Linked DNA regions of Oryzias latipes. The protein of the gene in region 1 interacts with the protein of each later gene in a pairwise test. Links are inferred from orthologs where the notes say so. Each region holds a gene or a part of one and is shown in the gene's direction. Other genes may lie near its edges.

The links. The genes of interacting proteins can lie anywhere in the genome.
Region 2: the proteins of coiled-coil alpha-helical rod protein 1 (region 1) and efhc2 interact in binary tests that used the Homo sapiens proteins (3 or more experiments, as listed by UniProt). The link is inferred for Oryzias latipes from reciprocal best matches to the Homo sapiens genes CCHCR1 and EFHC2.
Region 3: the proteins of coiled-coil alpha-helical rod protein 1 (region 1) and zfyve19 interact in binary tests that used the Homo sapiens proteins (3 or more experiments, as listed by UniProt). The link is inferred for Oryzias latipes from reciprocal best matches to the Homo sapiens genes CCHCR1 and ZFYVE19.
Region 4: the proteins of coiled-coil alpha-helical rod protein 1 (region 1) and washc3 interact in binary tests that used the Homo sapiens proteins (3 or more experiments, as listed by UniProt). The link is inferred for Oryzias latipes from reciprocal best matches to the Homo sapiens genes CCHCR1 and WASHC3.

What each region holds. Positions count from the first base shown.
Region 1 is NC_019872.2:16,061,511-16,066,451, forward strand, and holds the end of coiled-coil alpha-helical rod protein 1, read left to right. Parts: intron 1-1,025; coding exon 1,026-1,127; intron 1,128-1,293; coding exon 1,294-1,439; intron 1,440-1,516; coding exon 1,517-1,619; intron 1,620-1,702; coding exon 1,703-1,848; 3' UTR 1,849-3,219; downstream 3,220-4,941. UniProt on the Homo sapiens protein: May be a regulator of keratinocyte proliferation or differentiation.
Region 2 is NC_019879.2:12,532,595-12,538,328, reverse strand, and holds the start of efhc2 (EF-hand domain-containing family member C2), read left to right. Parts: upstream 1-1,649; 5' UTR 1,650-1,787; coding exon 1,788-1,832; intron 1,833-5,424; coding exon 5,425-5,613; intron 5,614-5,693; coding exon 5,694-5,734. Other genes in the region: fundc1 (FUN14 domain-containing protein 1), read left to right, coding at 114-191. UniProt on the Homo sapiens protein: Microtubule inner protein (MIP) part of the dynein-decorated doublet microtubules (DMTs) in cilia axoneme, which is required for motile cilia beating.
Region 3 is NC_019880.2:14,824,986-14,830,843, reverse strand, and holds zfyve19 (abscission/NoCut checkpoint regulator), read left to right. Parts: upstream 1-1,773; 5' UTR 1,774-1,960; coding exon 1,961-2,014; intron 2,015-2,107; coding exon 2,108-2,229; intron 2,230-2,318; coding exon 2,319-2,372; intron 2,373-2,457; coding exon 2,458-2,618; intron 2,619-2,710; coding exon 2,711-2,853; intron 2,854-2,991; coding exon 2,992-3,100; intron 3,101-3,218; coding exon 3,219-3,437; intron 3,438-3,541; coding exon 3,542-3,618; intron 3,619-3,769; coding exon 3,770-3,871; intron 3,872-3,962; coding exon 3,963-4,126; intron 4,127-4,343; coding exon 4,344-4,422; 3' UTR 4,423-4,798; downstream 4,799-5,858. Other genes in the region: bub1b (mitotic checkpoint serine/threonine-protein kinase BUB1 beta), read right to left, coding at 793-852, 973-1,115. UniProt on the Homo sapiens protein: Key regulator of abscission step in cytokinesis: part of the cytokinesis checkpoint, a process required to delay abscission to prevent both premature resolution of intercellular chromosome bridges and accumulation of DNA damage.
Region 4 is NC_019881.2:17,520,675-17,526,459, forward strand, and holds the start of washc3 (WASH complex subunit 3), read left to right. Parts: upstream 1-1,700; 5' UTR 1,701-1,849; coding exon 1,850-1,900; intron 1,901-2,216; coding exon 2,217-2,315; intron 2,316-3,001; coding exon 3,002-3,067; intron 3,068-3,158; coding exon 3,159-3,296; intron 3,297-4,448; coding exon 4,449-4,562; intron 4,563-4,661; coding exon 4,662-4,726; intron 4,727-4,824; coding exon 4,825-4,924; 3' UTR 4,925-5,785. Other genes in the region: zinc finger protein 252, read right to left, coding at 1-7, 80-181, 259-461, 973-1,012. UniProt on the Homo sapiens protein: Acts as a component of the WASH core complex that functions as a nucleation-promoting factor (NPF) at the surface of endosomes, where it recruits and activates the Arp2/3 complex to induce actin polymerization, playing a key role in the fission of tubules that serve as transport intermediates during endosome sorting.

The sequences.
Region 1 (4,941 bases):
GACTACCAGAAATGTAAAGTTGTCCATTATAGAGGGTATTTTAAACCCCAATATTTCCCAACCTCTCTACTACTAAATTTACTCATCTGGTATCTAAGAGGACATTTAAGGCTTTTCAATGTTACTAAGTGGAAAAGGATGGGGCTTATTTTTTTTCTCTGGTAGTTGGAAGAATAACACTTTTTTAAATATCTGGAAATCAGAACAAAATTTTGTGTAAAATGTTTAGGATATGTCTTCATATAATGTTTTTATTTTGCTTTTTAATTAATAATTTATCCAATTTTTTATTATTTTGTGTCAAACCTTGTAAAAACGTAACACTACTGGATTCCTTAGCTTCAGTTCTTTTTGATTTCCATATTAAGTGATGATGCAGGCATCACATTTACCGTTTACCATAAGTGTTTACTTTCCTTTAGAGGAATTTTTATTTATTTTTATTATTATTATTATTATTTTTTTTTTTTTACAAAAAATAGTACCTAAAAAGGAAAAAAAGTGAAGAAAAATACCACAAAACCATCCAACTGTGGAGACTAAAACCCAGATATAGAGGGAAGGAAAGCTGAAGTGCTGATTCTCTGAATCATTTAGGATTGTGTTGGTTGAAGGCAGAGGGCTGAAGAGGATGTCTGACTGGCAGGTCGGCATGCAGGCATCCACATTAGTTGGAGCAACAAACAATTGATGAGTGGATTATGATTTTGGCATGACACACTGCTGAGTTGATGAGATGAATGATTGCAGGCAGGTGTACAGCCTGAGAACCTGCCAGGCAGCAAAGGAGAGAGGAAGAAAGAATTACACCCAACACTTTGGTAAACAGACAGAAAAAACCTCAACGGGGAAAAGAGGCTGCAAAAACACAACTTTTTTTCCTTTAAAAAAAAAAAAGTGATCAGAAGTGTCTTTTACTCGTTCCTTTGTGCTGTTTCATTATGTTGCCCTGGAAAGGAGAATTGATCCATTGATGCACTGAAGTTGAGTTCATCCCCTGAGGTGCATTTGTTCTTCTCCTCCAGCCCTGCAGGAACGAGTGTCTGCGATTGAGGCTGCGCACGCTGAGAAAACGAAAGAGCTTGAGCTCCAGCTGCATGCAGCCCGCAGAGAGCACACCAGAGCAGGTAGATCCTCGTCGCTGCCTGTCGCAGCTCCACGTCAGAGCGCCGAGGTTTATTACTGATGCAGACTGTAATTTAATATGGTCGAATCTGTTTGCACAGTATATTAGCCGTGTGATGGAAGATCATGTCCCTGTGGCTTCTGATGTGTCTGTTTTGTCTGTTGCAGTTATGACTTTGCTGCAGTTTCAGAGACAGGCAGCAAGACAACACGATGAGATAACAGAAACTCCAAACTGGGGGGGTGAAAACACAAAACAAAATGTCCTGAATAAACATGTAAAGGAGATGGAGGGGAGCAAAAAGTTTCTACATGTAAGAACAGACTTTAAAACAAAAACGCTATACAAGAAATGTGTGTGTGTGTGTCTTTTAACGTGACTGTGCTTTAGGTCATGGCCTCTAAAGAGGCCCCGATGGCAGAACACGCACAGAGTCGAGAAACTCCTTCAGAGAAGAGGACTTCTGTTGAAGCAGAGGTCCACCTTCCTGCAGGTGCTGAGAAATATCCTTAATCTAATCGTAACCAATATTTTAGACCCTAACATTCACACAGGGCTAACTCTGTTTTCTCCAAGAGAGACTCCTGAGTGTTTTGGAGGAGCTCCACACGCTTAGCGCTGCTGTAGTAAACAGCTCTGAAGACTCTTCAGAGGAAGAACTCAGAAGTGACGACAGGAAGACTTCTGCTGACCTTCTGGACAGTCAAGACATGAAGAACTGAAGAAGTTTAACTACTGATTAGAAATATAAAAAAATAACCCTATTTTTACTCCATTAAGTTGAGCCATAAAGGCTGGAATCACTTTCATGTTGACTAAATAAAAATTATAATATTTTACATAATCTATTAGTTATTGTGACTTTTTAAATTAAAATCAATAAGAACTCAGGAAAGTATACAAACACTCGTGAATAGTGGGGCACAAACAGATAATCTTCAATAATGTACTATTTCTTTATTATTTTACTACTTTTTAAAATGTATTTGGGTTATTTAAAGGACAGTCTCGTTTCCTACTTTAATTTTGCCGTTCAGCTAAAGTAAGGATTTCCTGCAAAATGCTTTTGGGAGTTGCCTCCAAGTGTTTTCTCGTCACACACAAAGCCTTTTTTTTTCAAATTACATTTAGGCACATTGGTAAAGATTTTCTACTGTAAAAAATCTATATTTTCTATTTGACACTCCTTTATAGAGCAGTCATAAGAGCAATGAGGATAAACACCATGACGAAGCAGGTAATTGTGCTATTTGTCATGCTGTCACCAGTGCTGATAAATTCAGAAAAAGTTCAAAGTTTTAGGCCCTTTAGGTAACAATTTAATAGTCTTGATGAAGTGTAAATATACCCACTAATAAAATCGTCTTTACTCTAAGCTCTCTGACCGCCGGAGAAGTGATTCATCATTTTAAACTGGTCAGTAACTGATTCAGCTTTACTGTTCTAAAAATCTTACTTTTACTGCATATGGTCTAAGAGACCCTAGTGAAATTCAATAAAAAATTACAGAAGTTCGAAGCCTAAATTTAGGTCACGTCCTGTTGACACACCTGAAACCCATTTTTATATTTTTTTGGTTCTTTTTAATTATTATTTAAGTTTATTTGCATCTTTTGGTTGTGATGTTGGTGAATTTCTTTTGAATATTGAAGGCTGATGGTAGCTTGTCTTGCATTTTTCTCTGCAGCACCTTGCAAGTGCACAGAATGACCAACAGAGGGCAGTGTTGTCAAAGCTGAGCTCAAAGCGAACAGCCCTCTTGAAAGGAGGAAACAAAAATTAACTAATAACGTTAATCATCTAGGTTGAAAAGGTTTTGTATGAATAAGAGGATAAAAAGGTGTAGACTATATTCTAATATTATTGATTTAAGACATGGTGAAAAATTGACTAAATCAGGAGAAAAATCTAATGAATAAAGTAAAAAAAAAAGAAAGAAAAAAACTGGTTGTGTTTTACTATTTAGAGCTAAGTAGTTCTGAAAAGTTATGAAAACTAAATATTGCAAAAATTAATCACACACCTGGGAGTGATCTTCAGTCAGCTCTACCTTTCTGGCTTCACTGGCCTGTTTACTGCGATTGACTGTGCAGCATTGTTGTGAGACCCAGTTTCCCCTCCTGCTTGTCAAGTTCATTGGGTCTTATCACAGAGTACCGGGACAAGCCCAAAAGTCTTTTGCTGCAGTCTCTGGTTATCATCAGGTGTTTTTTTTTCCCCCTGTCTCCTCAACTTTTCCTAATTGTGAGTGATCCAGTGATATCAAATATATGTGAGTCAATGCACAAAAAATAATTTTGAAACTCAGAGTTTTGACCAAAACCAGATGACATTTTTACAAGCAGATTTGTGATTATTAAATGCCTTACCTTAACGTGGAGTGTGAATATATTAGATGTGTATTTTATTGTGTGGGGCGTCTTTTTCTTTTTTTTTGCAAGAATAGGGATTGGGGGTTTCTGTATTCTTGTTTGTTTTTATGTGCAGCACCTTGAGCTGTTTTATATTTTTTTACATGAAATGTGCTTTATAAATACAATTAATTTGAATTTGAATAAAACAGAAGAGTTTTTGTTTTAGAATTAAAAAAAAAAAAAATCAAAGGCTTGCTGTGACTTCCTTTCACTGAAATGAAACAAAGCATCATCCTTGCAGGATGAGTCTCCTCCTGTGTCAATCAGTCACCTTGTTGGTTTTCACTTCAGACTTGGGGGATGAGTGTAATTTAGTCATCAGCGATATCACATTAATCACATTTTGCTGGAAGAACAAATGAATAAACAAGAATAGATAACATATTTTAGCTGACACACAAGCTGACAAGCCTGGAGATTTGAAGAGAGAAGTAATTTACTCTTCTTTTCAATTGCAAGAATTGTTTGAGTAAACACTGAAAATAAAAACTGCATGATACTTGGTATGGAGATGCTCAACACATTTAAAAAATACATTGACTGGCTTTTTTAAGTGTACTGTAAGGATAATAGTTTCTTTTAATTAGGTTTCTAAATTTTTTGTTCAGATTTTCTTTCGGTTCATTTCAAAAAGCCTTTTGGGTGACCTTGTAAGTAACTAGGCCTGCACAATATACCGCAAATTTATCGTTATCGCAACATCAAGCTGTGCAATATACATACAGCAAAAGACGGCGAAAATCGCAATAAATGGTTACCTTGACCCTTGTGCTATCCTAGGCACTTTAACATTGGGAGTTGGGTCATCTAGACCCACTAGACAGTGCACTGAACTTTTTTCTTCAATGATTTGTGATCTTCACTGGTGTCCATGGATTACATGAAATCTTTCCACCTTTATCCACCTTTGTCATGGTAGGGAAAACACGTCAATGTAAGGGGGGGGGGTCATCTAAGATAGGACAAGGGTTAAATGTGCTAAAACAAACTCATGGCAGCTTGAAATATTGAATAAATGAAATAAATCCCTTTATGCATTTAACCGATCGGAAGGACCCGTTTACCTTGTTGATCAATCAGATGAGCCCTTTTATGTTTGATGTTTGCCTCCTATGTCGACAAGGGTCATTTGGAGTATAATTTTTAAACTGTTGCATTGAAATGGAAATGATGTTTTTGGTTGGTTTGATATTTTTTTATATACCGCAAATTATATCGTTATCGCAATATTAATCACCAATATAGCATATCGCGAGTTTTCCACATATCGTGCAGCCCTATAAGTAACCTAGGTCCACATGAATTAAAAATCTAATCTTTATTAAGAAGTGACCAGTTTTTTCAATAAAAGTCAACTTTTTCTTTGTGAAGTCATTGCAGTCGTCTCTTATTCATCTGCTT
Region 2 (5,734 bases), on another chromosome or scaffold:
ACGGTTAGTCAGCTTGTACGCCTTATTATTTAGGATAAAGCTCCACTTAGATTAATTTGAGTATGGAGGAAAGTCCCGTGTGATTCAGCAAAGTTAAAGATGTGTCTTTTCAGTCCACAGAGTTTGTGAAGAAAAACATTGTGGTGACCAGCGGCTTCGTTGGAGGGTTCCTGCTGGGTCTGGCTTCCTAGGCTGATCTTCTCAACTCCAGATCAGTGCTGGGGCGTTTCTACTGCAAGCGGCCACTTTCACTTCAGCTTTTGATGTCAGCGGGACAGAGCAACACAGCTGATCAATGATTGGGTAAAGGTTCCTCACTGGCAGGGGTTGCTTCAGAAAGTACAATAAATGCAGTTTTTTTTCTTTTCTTTGCATCATTTAAGCACGATATATGAAGGTATTTATGATAGACAGCTGAAGGACTATGTTTGATTTTTAAGGATTTCATATTTAACCAACTTATGTTCTCCATGAACTTTAATCGTTATACATTATTACAGGAAGGATGAGTTAAAGAGGAACCTGTTTAGACTATCAAAACTTTTACTCAACTAAAGGATTCCTGTCACACAGATTTAATTTTAAAATCAAAGTAAACCAGAATGTTTTCTATTTATTTATTTGTACCAAGCTGATATTATTCCAAACGTTTGCACTCCGTTTCTGCAGTGAGTGGCAGAGACCCTTTTACCCTGTTCTCCATTATCGTCATTGGATCTGCAGGCGTCAGTCAGCTTAAGAGTGGAAGCTTGAACATTCATGTAAAGTGCTACATGGGTCATCATGTCTGCCTGCTCTGCCTCTTGTGTTTTTTGTTGTTATGATGAATTTATGAAGACTGAAGACCTATAAATCTAAATAAAACATCTCCAAAAAACAGAACTAAGTTTTTTCTTTTACATTTTTCATTCCTGAAGGTTTTGGTTTTATTGGAGACCCACTCCAGTGTTTTTGGTGTTTTTAACATGTTCTTGTGGTATTTTTCTGATGATGCAGGACATGTGTAAAGAAAACTGAACCTAAAGTTGTATGAGTATTTATTTATTAAAATTGTTGTGAATAAGGAGCTGATGAAAAAATGTTTGATAGAGAGAATATTAGGTAGAAAGGCTAGCCATCAGCTCCCTGCTCTGCTTCATTCCGATGCATCCACCTGAAGACAAATGCATCCATGGACGTTTTTGTTTTCCTCGTCTGAGTTGGAATGTGATGGCTGAATAGCTCCAATATTGCTCGCCATTTTGATTGCACTGGTAATGTTAGCTTGGGACTGTGAGGGGTTGTAAGCTAGTGGAAGAGAGAGTGTAAACAATGGAATGATGGGATATCAGCGGAGGCTTATCTGTAAGCCCTAGAAAATAACACGTTTTGTTTTTTTTAAACAGCAGAATCTTTACAAATTACCAATGTGAACATTTTTTTACAGTGGCTCAAAACAAGGTTAGTGTGGAACTTAAACTGGCTCTGCACAGACTAGCGCCCTGTCCAGGATGTCCCCTGCCTTCGCCCACGAGTGGCGGCGTTATGCTCCGGCAGCCCCCTGACCCCGGAAGGGACCAAAACTGGTTTAGAAAATCAATACATGAATGGATCTTTAACGTCAGTTTTCTTTCTTTCCTTTATCTTTTAGTTTTTGTTTTGTTTTTGTGCGCATTTAAATATACCATACACGTTCGTTATGAGCCATAGCAACAGTTGACGTTTCCATAGCAACCGGCAACAACGGACAGCAGGCTTCTGCCCACCGCAGCTTCTAGAAAGAAAAGCGCTTCGTTCCTGTCGTCGTCATGTCGTCTTTACCGTTTCTACCCGGAAATTCATTCGATCTTCATGTAAGTGGATTCATGTCTGAAAGTTTTGGCTCGACTTCAGAGTCAAACGCGATGGTTAAGCACTCGGTTAAGGAATTCCACTACAGTACTACTGACGACCAAGGCAGTCATGTTGACCGCTTGGCGTTATTTGTATACAATCTGGATTATGATACTTATAAGAGGTAGTAATAAGTAAAAACACACCAGGATGCTAAATGAAAAGATGTAATTCCACTGTTACCAAAATATTGCAGCCTAATATTCATCTTATCAGGCCTTCTCCAGTTCATGGCATCCCCTGTCTTTTTATTATTTTTCACTTTTGTTTCTCTTGGGTTAAAAAGAAAACTATGTTGGTTTCAGAGAGCATAAACAAACAAACAAAAAGCTAGGAGAAAAAATTAAGAAAATGTTGTGAAATCTGAAACCCCCTGTAAAAAAAAAACATGGAACCAATTTGACTGCTACGGTCAATCGGGGTATAAATACTCAGATCTCTATTGCATTTAAAAAAAATTAAAATGATAAAACAACGTGAGAACAAAATATACACACGATTAGGAAAAGTCAAAGTCCTACTGGGTCATAGTTTTTTGTTTGGAGGCTCTCCATGCCATAGGAAAGAAAGGACTCATGGAGATACATGTGTGTTTACATTACAATGGACACATGTGTTGACCTCTTACTCACACAACGCAGTTGGTCAACAAGAGCTGGCTTTTTATGACCTTCCTGTGTGATAATGGTTGGATTAATACATTAAAAAAAGATTTTCTTGGTTAAAACATTTATTTTTTAAAATTTTGTTCAGTTACATTGAAACTGAAGGGAACTTGTATCATTTTAAAATATGAATTTTCAAAAACAGCTAAAGAAAAGATGATTATAGTAGTTTTGACAAACTAGCGGTGATTAAAGGGTTAATTATGTGGACCTCTGGAAGGTTGCTGGTTCAAGATCAGGCAGGATCATCCTTCACTGTGGTGCTGGGTATGCATGTCAAGCTGTGCACCAGCCAGCCAGGCTTGGTATGACTCTTTCTTCAGCTTGACGGCATCCCTTACTTCCGGTGTCCACCACGGGTTCGGGGGTTGCCGCCGCACCGGCACCAGAGACCTTGCGACCACAGCTTCGAGCAGCGGCAGAGACAATGGAAGTGGAAAACTTGGTCCACTCGGACTCAATGTCCTCAACCTCCCTCGGTATCTGTTTGAGGTTCTCCCGGATGTGGGAGTAAAAGACTTCACTAACGGAGGGCTCAGCCAGATGTTCCCAGCAGTCCCTCACAGTGCGTTTGGGTCTCCCAAGTCTTTGCGGCCTCCTTCCCCGCCAGCGAATCCAACTCAACACCAGGTAGTGATCGGTTGACAGCTCTGCCCCTCTCTTTACCCAAGTGTCCAAGACACGAGGCCAAAGGTCTTGTATCTCCTGATACAACTACAAAGTCGATAATTGACCTCCTGCCTAGGGTGTTCTGATGCCACGTGTATTGATGGACACCCTTGTGCTCCAACATGGTGTTTGTTATGGACAAACTTACGAGCACAGAAGTCCAATAGCTAAACACCGGTCGGGTTAAGATAAGGGAGACCATTCCTACCAATCTTGCCCTCCAGGTCACACTGTTATTGCCCACGTGGGCATTGAAGGCCCCCAGGAGGACAATAGAGTCCCCCATTGGGGTACCCCTTCGAGAGGGGTACTGGACACAAGGCCGGGCTCTCTAAACTGCTGTTCGGCACGTAAGCCCAAACCACAGTCAGAGACCTGTCCCCCACCCGAAGGTGGAGGACATGACCCTCTCGTCCACTAGGGTGAACTCCAACACTTGGCGGCTGAGATGGGGACTCACGAGTAAGCCCACAGCAGCCCGCCGCCTCTCACCATGAGCAACTCCAGAGTGGTAGACAGTCCAACCCCTCTCTAAGGACTGAGTTTCAGAGCCCATGCTATGTATGGAGGTGAGCCTTACTATATCTTGATGGTACCTGTCAACCTCTCCCACAAGCTCCGGCTCCTTCCCTCCCAGAGAGGTGACGTTCCATGTCCCAAAAGCCAAGTTCCATGACGGGGGTTTGGGCCGCCGAGGCACCCGCCTTTGACTGCCACCCAAGCAACATTGCACCGGCCCCTTTTGAGGTCTCCTACGGGTGGTGGGCACATGGGAGAGTGGTCCCATTTTGCTCCTTTGGGCTGAGCCCGACCGGGGTCCGTGGGAAGAGCCCCGGTCACCAGGCGCTCGCCTACGAGCCCCAACCCCAGGCTTGGCTCCAGAGTGGGGCCCCGGTGACACCAATCCGGGCGATGTAATTGACTCCTTGGTATTACTCTTCATCAGGGGCTTCTGAACCGCTCTATGTCTGACCCGTCACCCAGGACCTGTCTGCCATGAGAGACCCTATCAGGGTCTTAAGCCCCAGACAGCCTAGCTCCTGGGATCACTCGAGCTCTCAAACTCCCCCACCACGTTAAGGTGGCTGTCAACGGGGGAGCAAGCTGTGCACCTTTGTAGAGATGTAGTGGAGTCACTAGTCTTTTTCTTTCTCAATATTCAGGTACTTGTACTTCTAAATTATACTTCTTTTAGGAAATGTGTTGGTGCTGTCCATACAATTTTAAAGTCCCACTCCGATCATCTTTCGATCTATTGTAAGAGCATTCCTAGTGATTAATTATGATTATGCTGTTTTTAGCCAAAATAAAAAACATTGTTATTGTTTAATAAAGTTTACAGGGAGTTCATTAAAAACGTATGTCTGGGACAGTTGGAGTAACCCAGCCCACCTTACCCTCCTCATTGTTGAGAGCTCTCAGTTTACATACTTTCCCACTAGCTTAAAGGCCCCTCACAACCCCAACTTAACATTAGTGGTGCAACAAAAATGGCGAGCAATGTTGAAGTTATCAGCCGTACAGTTTAGAGCCAGACTGCAGCTGAGACAAGGAAAACAAAAATGTGCATGGATCTATTTGTCTAAAAGTGGATCAGAATGGAGCGGAGCAGGGAGCTTGTGGCTCGCTCAGCGTATTCTATAACGCAAATATAGTCTTTTTTGAAACTGCATTTTTTGTTTGGTCCTGATGCACAACTATTTGAATAAAGAAAAACTCAGAAATGTAATTTTAAGCTCAATTTTCTGTATATTTGTCTTCAATTATCAGCAAAATGCCAGAAAAACACAAAATGTTTATCTGTTTTAAGTTAGTGGAGTGGGTCTTTAAGGTTAAGGCTCATTGTTAAGTCACAGAAGTGAACAACAATTATTCACATTTTCTTGGTTAACGCATAAATATATTGTATCTGATTTTCTGCTGTTTCTGACGTCAGCTTCCGTGTTTCAAATCAATTTTCATGACAAGAACAGAGAAGTGCAGCAACATAATGAACTGGAGTGAATTGAATTAAGAAGTAATTATTAAATGATGTAACAGTGAACAGGGTTTGCTAAATGCCATGCATTTTGTGAGGTGATTACATGGGGTTGTATATAAAATACTGCAATCCGTCACATTTCTCTTCAGAATTCAAACTCCTCACTATTTTTGTCCTCCAGCTCTGCTGCTTTTGTGATGGATGTTAAGAAATGATTTGTTTTGTTGCATTACGCAGCTGGGGAGGGAGAGGTTCCACAAATCCCAACACTTTGCCCTTGTTGAGGGTTTGCCCAAGCTGGTGGGGCTGGAGAAGCCAGGGATTGGAGGAGAGCCTTTACCAGGCCAGAAGATAAAAGCAGCACATTCTGTGTATCCCAAAGTAGATGGCAGTCACGTCCCGTCATGGTTGGCCTTTGACAAACAGGTAGATTAATAAGACGTTTATGGTTCTCTGTGACAAAACCTGATTATTTTCAACATTTGTCCATTCGTGTGTCTCTATAGGTTCTTTGCTTTGAGGCTTACTTTCAGGAGAAGGAGCCCTA
Region 3 (5,858 bases), on another chromosome or scaffold:
CTCGGTTTAAAATCGAACCATTTGACTTCCGGGAGGCATAGAGCAGCTGCACAATTTCAGATCATGACCCTGAAAAAACCCCAGTGACTGAAGAATCAGAGGACATAACCAGAAGTCGCTTGATTTCCTGCTGGGGAAAGTTAGAATAGTTTGTTACACCAATGAACCGAATCGTGGTGAAAGTTAATCATTGCATCACTACTGCATTCCAGTATATTTACGGTGTAAGATTCACTGCCGCCTCTCAGTTGGCAGCTCAGGTACAAATTTCTCAAAACAGACTGAGCAATTCTCATAAAAAGAAATCAAAAACTAATATTTTTCTTTTAATATGAAATTTGAATGTTGTTTGTGTTAGGACAAACCAATACAGACACTTCCTGTCAGTTTTAAATGTTTATTAAAAGGAGTTATTGATCCTGAAAAGTCTGTATCAATGAATTTCTTGCTAACTTTATCCAATTGTTTTCAACCACCTCCTACTCAAACTAGTGCCATACTCTGCTGAGCTTTAAGGCAATAAAATGTTGGTATCTGTTCATGATATGCAGACTTCCAGCAGAGCATTTATCTGTAATAATAAGTTTGATGTATGTAACACTGATCATAATAAGAATTAAATAAATATTTGATTCCTGATGGAAATAAAACATTCAATAATGATTAAACTACAAGCTTGGGCCCCATTTCCAATCGCGTGAACAGATCGGGACATATCTGATCCAAAAATCGAGGTCTGAACCGAATTGTAGGGAAGGTGAATTGTTGCATTCCTAGTTAGAAGTCGCTTACCTATCCCAAACACCAAGAGGATCGTCTCCATCATACATGCGTAGCTCAGACTCAAATGTTCTGTGAACACAGGATAGTTTACATTTTTAAATAATGGAAACAAAACTATGTTCAAACTCCAAAACATTTTCAGCTGAAAATCTTTCAGATCAATAGCTGTGTTTGCAAAAGCATCCATACTGTCTCTGCTGGTTTATGGCTGATGTGGGTCCATCTTGTTGCTGACTTAAGGCTTGATGTAAGGCAGATATGTCTCTTCCCCGCCTTAGTGGTTGAATGTTTTCTTTGCTTAGCTCCCATTCCACATCACCACCTTCCGCCATAGTGGAAATGCTGGAAAAGGTGGAGAGGGCAAAAAACTCCAATCAGAAACTTTGAAATAATCACAGGATATTAAAGGTAAGCAAACCAAAGATTATGTGAATTTAATCACAACAATGGTCATTTTGCCCTTTGCTACATACATACATTTTATTTTAATCAGTTTGTGCTGCTACAGGATTTCCATAATCCACAAATATCAACAGTAGACAAAACAGTTAAGACGGGGTATTACCGTGTAAACCTACAAGCTGCAACCAACTATGCCAGATTATGTTTTCATTCTGAGATAAAACAGATTATGTTTTCATTCTGAGAATTGAAAAAAAGACAGGTTGTTGTTGTTCGAAAAGCTAGTTAGCTTAGCGTAGGGTGGGAGTGTGTAACCATGGATATTCCATCACTTTATTCGCATGCTTTAAATTAATCGTGGCCGTATTTTTAGACTCGGCAAATCAATTAGAATAAAATAAATTTTCTTCAATATAAAACATGAAATATTACTATTACTACTTACAAGCTTCTTTAGTTTTTAAGCAGGTAAATCTTGGACCGTGCAAAGCTGAAACGGTTAGCTCGCTGTTTTTTTTGAACAAGTCCCGCGAGAACACAAGGAGAAAGCTGATTGGTGGGTTGAAAATACCGGAAAAACAAAGATGACGACAAATGACGTTTTCCGGTTTACTTCCGGTATTGGTTCTAGCTACGTTCAGTAATATAATACAAGAACAGGAGGAAGCATTTTCTGTGTTTTTAATTTTATTTTTTCTTAATTTTGCAAAGTTCTTTTCACATTTAATTGCTGGTGTATCGTATGTGATAACCTCATATTTAATGAAGGGGCAGAATGGACGGTCGCTGTTATTGCTGCGCATCCAAGTTTAGTCTTTTCAAAAAAGAGGTATAGTAGTATCATGGCTAATATGAACATGACACGATTGTGTTTTGATAAATGTGTACTGAAGGCTTATTCTATATAATATTGTGTTTATAGCTGGGCTGTAAAAACTGCGGGCGATCTTTTTGCCCCAGCTGTTTGGCTTTTAGTGCTGTGGTGCCTCGCTGCGGAAACACTCAACAGAAGGTCTGCAAGCAATGTCACGGTAATCTGACAAGGTATAAATATATAAATAAAAAGTGCTGCTGAATTATGTTGATGAACTCTCCAAAGTCGAATAATCTTTTGTTTTTATTCTCTTCATCAGTGGAGAACCTCCGAGCAGTGCCGGAAGATGGTCCCCACCAGAAAATTACAAGAAGTTAGTATGTGATCAGATTAAAAGGGGGAAAATACATACATGTGGGTTTATTAAGAACACTATCTAAAGTTACTGTCTTTTACAGGCGTGTCGCCGCCCTTGAGGCCAAACAGCAGGGACAGTCTGTGAAATCTGCTGCACATGGAGGGAGCAACAAAGCGGGTCATCTACCATGTAAAGGTCTAAGTAAAGAAGATCAGATTATTGCTGAGCGTCTTCAAAGATTAAAAGAGGAGACTAGACCAAGTAGGATCTTTTTTTAATGAGCATAAATTAAACACCTATAATAGACATGAGTTTTCCTCCTATTTGTCATACTTTTTTCCCCATTTCTATAGAGCCATCTCCCTCTCAGAGTGATCTTGAGTCTCGTCTCGCTGCTCTCAAAGCACCCAGCCAGCCAGTGCCTTCCATAGAGGAAATGGAGGACCGTCTGGCTGCTCTACGGGGTCAACCACCACCATCTCAAGCTCCTCCTCCTGTGAGTTAAATCCCCACCTCTTTTATGGGTGATGGTTTATAAAATATGCAACCCAGGTAGAGTCTCAAGTATCTCATAAATAGTCCGGTAATAGTATGGTCTACCTGCTAACACATCCTTATGCTCTCGTCTGGACAGGTTCACCAGCTTCCTGATAAACGGACTCAGACTGAACAAGCTAATGATTTGATTACTCAGATGACAGAGGAAGTTTGCATTGACAACCAGCAGTTAAACCATGAACAAAGTAATGTTTTGCTTGTTTAAAAAAATAGTTTTAATTAAAAAGCAATAAAATTTACTGCCCCTACAATCTAATCATGGAAAACTGGTTTCATTCTAAATATTTTATTTTTTGTTCAAAGACATAAATAGCCATATGAATGATCTGAACAAAGGGGAAGGTGCCACATGGGATGAGAACTTAGAGGAAAATCGGCAGACGGTGAAACATTTGGAGGCGGACAAAGACCGTCTTCTCGAGGAGGCAATGCAGGAGCTGAGGCAGGAGCAACATTCCCAAGAGCAGGTCCTCCATATGGCAAAGAGGCTGGCGCAGCTCAAGGGGCAGGACCCAGAAAAAGGTGCAGGGAGCAGTTTACCAACATTTATAGTTTTATGACGGAGAAAAATGACTAGACTTTGAATTTAAAACTTTGTAACTGACATTTCTATAATACACTTTTAGTCACAATGGAGGACTTCCAGAGTCCTGACAGTGATGAAGAGACTGAAGAAGAGGCTGTGAGGAGAATCTTGAAGCAGGTAAGGCATTCACAGAAAAGCAGAGGGCATTTCACAATGCAGTTAAAACTAAACACTTACTTTGTTGCACCTTTTTGAGGACAGCATTTCATTCTGACCACAAGAGGCTGCTGTTTGGCTAAGATGTTTTTTAGTTTTTCTGACTTTCCAGCTTTCAGAAGAGGCAGCTCTTGATGAAGCTAGTGGCTACAATATACCCATGGAGCAGAGTGGCCCCAGGAACACAGAAAACAAAAAAAAGTCTAAAAAATCAGTATGTTCATTGATCAAAATTCTGTGTTTTCTTTTAAGCTGTTTGGCTGCATTTTATTTAAAACACTGCTTTCTTTTGCTGTGGCGTGTAGAGTTCGGCTCCTGCTCCTAAGAGCAGAATCTCACCTGCTGCTGTCATGCATCAGTCATCAGACAGTGAAGAAGAAGAGCTTCCATGGTGCTGCATCTGTAATCAAGACGCCAGCCTTCGTTGTCACACGTGTGACGGAAGCCTGTACTGCAACCGCTGCTTCCGGTAACTATTTCAGATTTTTAGAGCTAATATTCCTGACCAGGACTTAAAACGATGCCCTCTATGGGAAATCCTTACTCTGATATCAAGAGTGTTGATTTGAAATGCATGTTATGACCCAGATAAAATGTTGGCACGCTGCTGTACTGTTAAGCAGCGTGAATATAAAGTATTTAGTGTGATGAATTATCAATTCTCCCCTTTTCCATTATGTCCCCAGGGAAGGCCACGATAAATATGACAGAATGGAGCATCAAACTACCAAATACACAGCGCCAAAGACAAAAAAGAAGACGTGATAGTGAAACTGCTATCTTGTTTGTCTCATCAGGCGCTGTTGTTTCATGACTCTCTAGTCTTTAAAGTGTCCTATTAATGTTGCTAAAGTAGAACCTTAAAAATGTAGACACTACATTTAAATAACGCAAGGCAGATCTCACTTTAACCCATCAATTTGGAGCTCTTTGCAGGAAGAGCTTTGCATACTTTCTGTGCTTTCTGAAACCTGGTTTAACCTCAGCAATATATTTAATAGGTACCAGAAAAACCCACACCAACCTCATCCAAAAACAGCTCGGAGTGTAGAGAGTAAAAGTATGTTCACTATTGTGCCATGACCACAAAGCAACTACAAAGAGCGAAAAATAAAAGCTGTCAAACTGATTTCTTTCATCACTTGTTGTCAGTTGTCCTACTTTTTACTGGCAAGAATGAGAAACCAGAAGTGTAGTTTGCACTTGTAAACTTTTTTTTTTTGCCTTTTTCCGTGCACACAGAAAGCACACGGATCATGAGTTCATATGGAATACCATAGGCTTTTAGGACTGTCAGACAGAAAACACCAAAGTGTTAACTGTAAAAAGATTCACTGGCAGCTTTGTTTCCTTTAAGCCAGGGGGGTCAAACTCATTTTCATTGAGGGCCACATCAGCATAGTGGCTGTCCTCAAAGGGCCAAATATAACTTATACATGTAACTAAATGCAATGAAAAATAAATGCAAATACTCCTTAATGTTAAATAACTCATTATTTATTTACTTTTTTTTAAGTGACAATTACAGTTGCATAGAAAACACATGTTTGCTTGTTACTCTACCATAAATCCTTTTAAATTTGAGTCTGTCAGGTTGGGTTGTGTGGACAATCTTTAAGTCCTAATGTATAGTTACTCAATCCAATATTTCAAGTCAGATTCCCCCTAGATATGAATAGATACGTACCAAATTTTTAGTTTTTATTCTAAGAAATCAAAAACTTTTATGCTCTCACGGGCCACATAAAATGACATGGCGGGCCACATTTGAGTTTGACACGTGCTTTAAGCTGTCATTCCTACAGTCTGTATTTGGATGTGACAGACATTAGCATTGGCTCTCTTTTTCATTTTGGGAAATTTCTTTCAACATCATTGTTTAATGTGATTTTTTTTTAAGGGGGGATAACAAACGGGTACATATATTTTGGCAGCTTTTATGTGTAGGTTTTCTCCATATGGATGGATGATAAGAACAGAGAGCAGAAGTGGGGTTTAGTCGTTCAATTGCTATAGCGACAAAAGGACCCCTACAATCTGTAGGAGTGAAGAATCATCACTGCATTACTGTTCAGTGAGCTGAGGGTGAAGCGTAATTATACCATCCTCGGGGGGGTTTGCTCCATTAAGGTTCGTGAGGAAGCCGCTGCCTGTTTGTCTTTTCTGGTCATGCCTCTCACCACCACCACAGACAGGAAATG
Region 4 (5,785 bases), on another chromosome or scaffold:
CCACATACTGCAATAAGACAGAAGTGTCACTCTACAGTAAATATTTAAATATGTGGTTCAGCTCCTTCACCTGACTTACGCCCGTGTTTGCTGAAGTTACGGAGAATCTCTCCAAGTAGCTCTGGATAACTTCAAAATCAATTTCCCCTCGAACTGAGCCTTTACACAGCTCCAAAATCAACTGAAATATGACAATATTTACTCAGCCATAAGATATAGACTACAAACACTCCTTTATGCAACACAAAAGACACTCACCCGAGCTCTTAGTCCAAGAATGAGCTGGGCTTTCTGTAGGGGGTTGATTAGGCCAGGAATGGCCTCTGTCACAGTAGACACAAAGTCCTGCAGCTTGTCGTAATTTAACACATCTTTATGCTTTGCAAGATGCCACACAGCAGCAGACAAAAGCTGGAGAGGGGGAACCAAGAGACGCAGGGATGACAGAGGCAAGCTGGGGTCTGAAAAAGAAAGGTGTGATGCAAAATATTGCCTATAGAGGGCAGTAATTAGCCTGTTTTTAGGCATGTTCATGCTACTACTAGAGGTGAAAAACCCCCACTCAAAAGTAGCATTACCTTACAAATAAAAAAATGATGTGCTGAATTTTAAATTTAAGATATTAAATTGTCTAAAAAAGAATTTTCTTAACCTTAACAAATGCTAAATTGGCGATGTGCCTTTCATGATCTGTTATGAAATTGAAATAAATGCTGGATTTACATCTATGTTAACGATTTAACATGGGAATATATTGACTGAAACGATTAAAATTCAACAACAATAAAAAGTACAACTGGTCTGTAAACGTAATGTATCACATAACAGAAAAAAACTACCTGTGATTTCATCAACATTAACAGTTAGCCAGTTTATACTCCACACCATTCCTTAAGTTAGTCGGGTCCCAAAGAGTATTTTCAAAGCATAAACGTGATTTACGACTACATTTATTAATCTGAATACACTTACGATTAGTTTGCTTCTTTGACCCAAAAACGTCCATTTGCATAGTCCAGCGTTAAAAGTCTGAAAATAACAGTAACTGTAAAAAAATATTTTTTATTGGTTTTTCTAGCTAACATGCGCTGTTGGGACGCAAACATCGTTTCCTCCAATGTTTTTGAGGGTTCCGCTTTCAAAATAAGAGTTTTCAGATTCAAAATCGAAAACATTGTTATGTAGTTTATGCATATTCGCAAATAAACACGAATATTTCAGTATGTATATTTTTTTATTTAAGATGGTATTGTTTTAAATGTATTATCAATAGATTATGTGCACAAGTTAAATGCCCAAAAACTAAGACGTTTCACCGCAGTGATAAAGTTGGTTGTTGACTAAACTTTATAGTATTTTAAACCAGATGTGAAATAACAGTGCTATAAAATGGAATTAGGGTTTTAAGTGTTGATATTTATTATTTAATCAATTTTAAACTTCAGATCCAATTTAATTCAATTTAATTCAATTCAATTTTATTTGTGTAGCCAAAATTCAAAACAACAGTCGTCTCAATGGGCTTTTCTACTCATTGACCTGAAAATATCCTTGTAGTTTTATTTAAATCCTCTCCATTCTTCTTGTAATTCTTTTTATTTAATTTTTTGTTTATTTTTCTATTTAGACACATTTTTTTAAAGTTTTCAAAATAAAAGCTGAAGTGTTAGGCCATTGGTGCAATATAGCGGAAGTGACAAGAGGAATAGGACGCGCTATGACGTAATTACGCAAGTCACATGAAACCTTCACTACAAACCTTTTTAATGTGCTGTTTTCTTTATTTACACCCCATGTAGACAGATTATAAACGATACTGGACGTTTGCGCGGAGTTTTAACGACCCAGCATGGACGAGGACGGTTTGCCAATCGTGGGGTCTGGAGTTGACCTCACGAAGGTTTGTGTTTTTTTTAGCTAACAGTCATGGTTCGCTTGTAGATCTCCGTGGGAATGAAAGAAGTAGCTGAAAGATTAGTCAAGTAAGACTTTATGGGATAATAAACATGATTTTAATCACATTATAATAGGATTCAATCAATATTCCCAACGATTTTGTATTTGCAGAATTATTTTTCGTGTTTTCTTTTACTTTAAAATGCATGTTTTTGTAAAGGCTGGCACTAAGCATGACTCTAAATTTCTCCAGAATCTGATAGGACTCGCTCTCATGTGTCATCGTTTTCCTGATTAAATGACTTTAAACTCCCTTCTAGGTTCCAGCTATACAGCAGAGACGAATTGTTGCCTATCTCAATCAGTTTGTTGTCCACACAGTTCGATTCCTGAACCGATTTTCCACAGTTTGTGAAGAGGTTTGTGCATCTTTTACATCGTTAAAGACCCACTTTGATGGAAATCCTGTATTTAACGTGTTTCTTGTGGGATTCATCTCAATATACTTAAGGGAATTAAGCTTACAATTGCATTTTTGAGTATTATTTAATTCAAATTGTTGTAAATCGGGAGCAGACGAAAAAATGCAGTTTGAAAAAGATTGTATTTGTGATGTAGAAAATGCGGCGGATGGGTCACAAGCTTCCTGCTCCTCTCCATGCTGATGCATCCATTTGTTGCAGACAAATAGATCCATGTATGTCTCTGTTTTCCCCGTCTGAACTGGAATCTGGCTCTAAACTGTACGGCTGGATAGCTCCAAAATTGCTCGCCATTTTTGTTGTCCTCTTAATGTCAGTTTACGGGTGTTTGAGGGGCTGTAAGCTTGGGGAGAGCATGTAAACAGATGGATGATAGGAAGTAGGGGCGGGCTTACTCTGCACCAACTGTCGAACAACAGTTTTTTTTTTGTTTTTTTTTACATTTTTGCCTAAAAAACAACATTAACATAGTTAAAAGACCAATGGAAACACATTCAATATAGATCAAAAGTTGATGATTGGGACTTTAAACTCGATTGACTTTGAATTTATCAGTGTCAAAATGTGTGAAGCCCTCATGGTGGGAACTCGATCAATCCAAAATATCAACATTTCCCCCACAGAAACTTGCAAACATATCCCTTCGCATCCAGCAGATTGATACCACCTTGTGCATTTTGGAGGCTAAGGTGAGCTGTCACACCCTTTTCAAATTGTCATGGATGTCATTTCTTTTTTTAACAAATGTTTTTGTTGTTGTTTTTTGTCTTTGTGGAGCAGTTGGCCTCCATTCCCGGGCTGGAGGAGGTCACAGTAGATGGACTGAACCAGCAGCACAGTGTGCAGACAAATGGGCCCACTCCAACCAGTCAAATCCAAACAGATGGGTCTTCAGTGGGAGCAGTTCCTTCCTCAGTGGTGAGTGTTCAGACTTGTTATAAAAAAGACACAAATATCCCAACCCCCCCTTCCCCCACAGTTTTTCACAAATTTATAGATTCAAACCTGATACATAAGGATTATGGTACATTCATATTGTGAAAGGTCGACCGATGATTTACCTTTTTACTATAGTTTTTTTTAATATATAATTATCTCTATTGATTTTCTTATTTTATTTTATGACAAACATGAAAATAATCCTAAAATAGCTTTACAAAATTTTTGTGTAATGTAGAATTCCTATGGGGTCAAATCCAGATCAACCTAAAGTGAAGGAAAAAACACAAAAAATAAAATTTAAAACTGTTTTAAACTCAAAAACAGATGTGAAAGAAATGTTGTAAATGTGAAAAGTATAATTGTAACTTTGAAAAAAAAAAAAAGATTTTAAACTTGAGAGGAATATAGAAAATTTGAAAAATAATTTTTTAAGTTGAAACTTAAAATTAAAAAGAAAAACTATAAACTTATAACTGTTACCAAATGAAAATTAACATATATTTGTAACAGCTGCTGTTTTGTATTGATGTACCAAACTTTGGGAGAGAATTATCACTACTGTTCGCCACATCAGAGGAGGGATGACACAGGCGGCGCCAACAACTACCGCTGTTGTGGAGCGGAAATGACATCATCATACCCTTTATGACCTGATGTCAATCATGTCCAGGTAGCCAATGGGCTCAAAGCCCCAGATAACAGTCAGAATTCTGAATTGATGACAAGTTTAGGTTTATGTTAAGTTGAGAATGTACTTTTATTTACTTATTTATTTTTTAAAATTTAATTTAATTAAAATAACCAAAGTGTACTTTTGAATTTAAAACTGTTCACTAATTTTCTCAATTGTTTTTAATTTTACTTTGTGGTTTTTCATTCCCTTCAAGCTGATCTCGATTTGACCCACATATTTCTCTTTTGTAGTTTTGAAATTTCCAATCTTGCTTTATTTACACAACAAATAAGGAACCAGTTAGTAATATAGACTGAATAGCAGGGATCTGGTTGCCTGTGTGCGTTACAGAAACATTCTGAGCATCTGTTTAGTGTACAGATATTATTTTCGCCATATTCATCAGGATTATAGTTTCCTTTAAAGCTGCTTTTCAACGTTTCTTCATGCTTCAGCCTCAGGAGGCACGACAAGAAGCTCCTGAGCAAAAAGCAGCAGCCGTTGCAGAGAATGTCCTCACAGTGGCCAAAGACCCACGATATGCCCGCTACCTGAAAATGGTTCAAGTGGTAAGTTATTATCTGATGTAAATGTTTAACAAAAGTCATATTTTGTTCAGTAATTTAATGTATTATTTTATGTAATGTATTTTTTTATTATTATTCAAGGGTGTTCCAGTGATGGCCATCAGGAACAAAATGATCCTGGAGGGTTTGGACCCCAGCCTACTCGAGTGAGTTTACATGGTTTGGTGAATAGCAGCGCTCCTATTTTTTTATCTTTATTCCACTAATAATGACAAAAATGTGTCCTCTTGTCTTTTGATAATAGCACGCCGGATGCCCCTGTGCCCGACGGAGCAGGAGCCAACACAGAGAACGAAGGGGCTGCTGCCTCCAGTTCTGACAGTGAATCTTCCTTCAGTGACTGAAACCTCTTTTTTTATTCTGCAAAACGTCCTGTAAGGTTCAAAATGCAAGTCTGCCTATAAAGAAACACATTGCAAAGAATCCAATCAAGTTTGTTAGGTGATTGTTTATATCCATCTGAATGAGCTGCAGCATTTTGATCAATGTTTAAAATGATTTGAAAAATATGTATATATATTTTGTCTATTCAAGAAAGCAGAAAGAGGAAGCTTTTTGAATGAGTTGGAGCACTAACACCACCTGCCTCACATTGTGTGGATGCCCACTTGTTCTAATAATAGCAGGGGGTCCCTCGTATTCTGTAGGTTGGGGCTGTGTAGCATCAGAAATCTGTTTTCCCAACTGTTCCTGAATGTATATTTTTTAGCTATATATTTCAGAGCTATGAGCGGAACTTTGCATCCTAACTGATTCAGTCTATAAAAAAGGTAGAATTGTCATTTATAGCTAAGAAATGAATACATTTGAGTCAATCTTTCATAGCATTATGTCCGTAACAGTTTTCTGCTTTTATATATGCGAAAACAGATATGTAGGCAGTTTTTACCACGTCATAATCATATACGTTGTGATATTGAAAAATTGCACTTTTTTTGTTTGTTTTGTTCATCATTTGACAATTTATTATTTTAAATGCTATTATTTTTGGTTCTGTATATAGGTAGAGGGGAAGCCAATCTTCCTTTAGGAGCCAATATCTTAAAGCCCCACTCCAATCCTCTTTTGATCTAATTTCACAGTGTTTTTATTTTATTTTATCTTTTTACTCTAATTATGTAGTTTTTAGCCAAAATCAAAAAAAAACCTGTCGTTTTCTAGGACATAGTTCCTGCAGAGCGGCAGGAGAAAATTGCCTCTTAGTT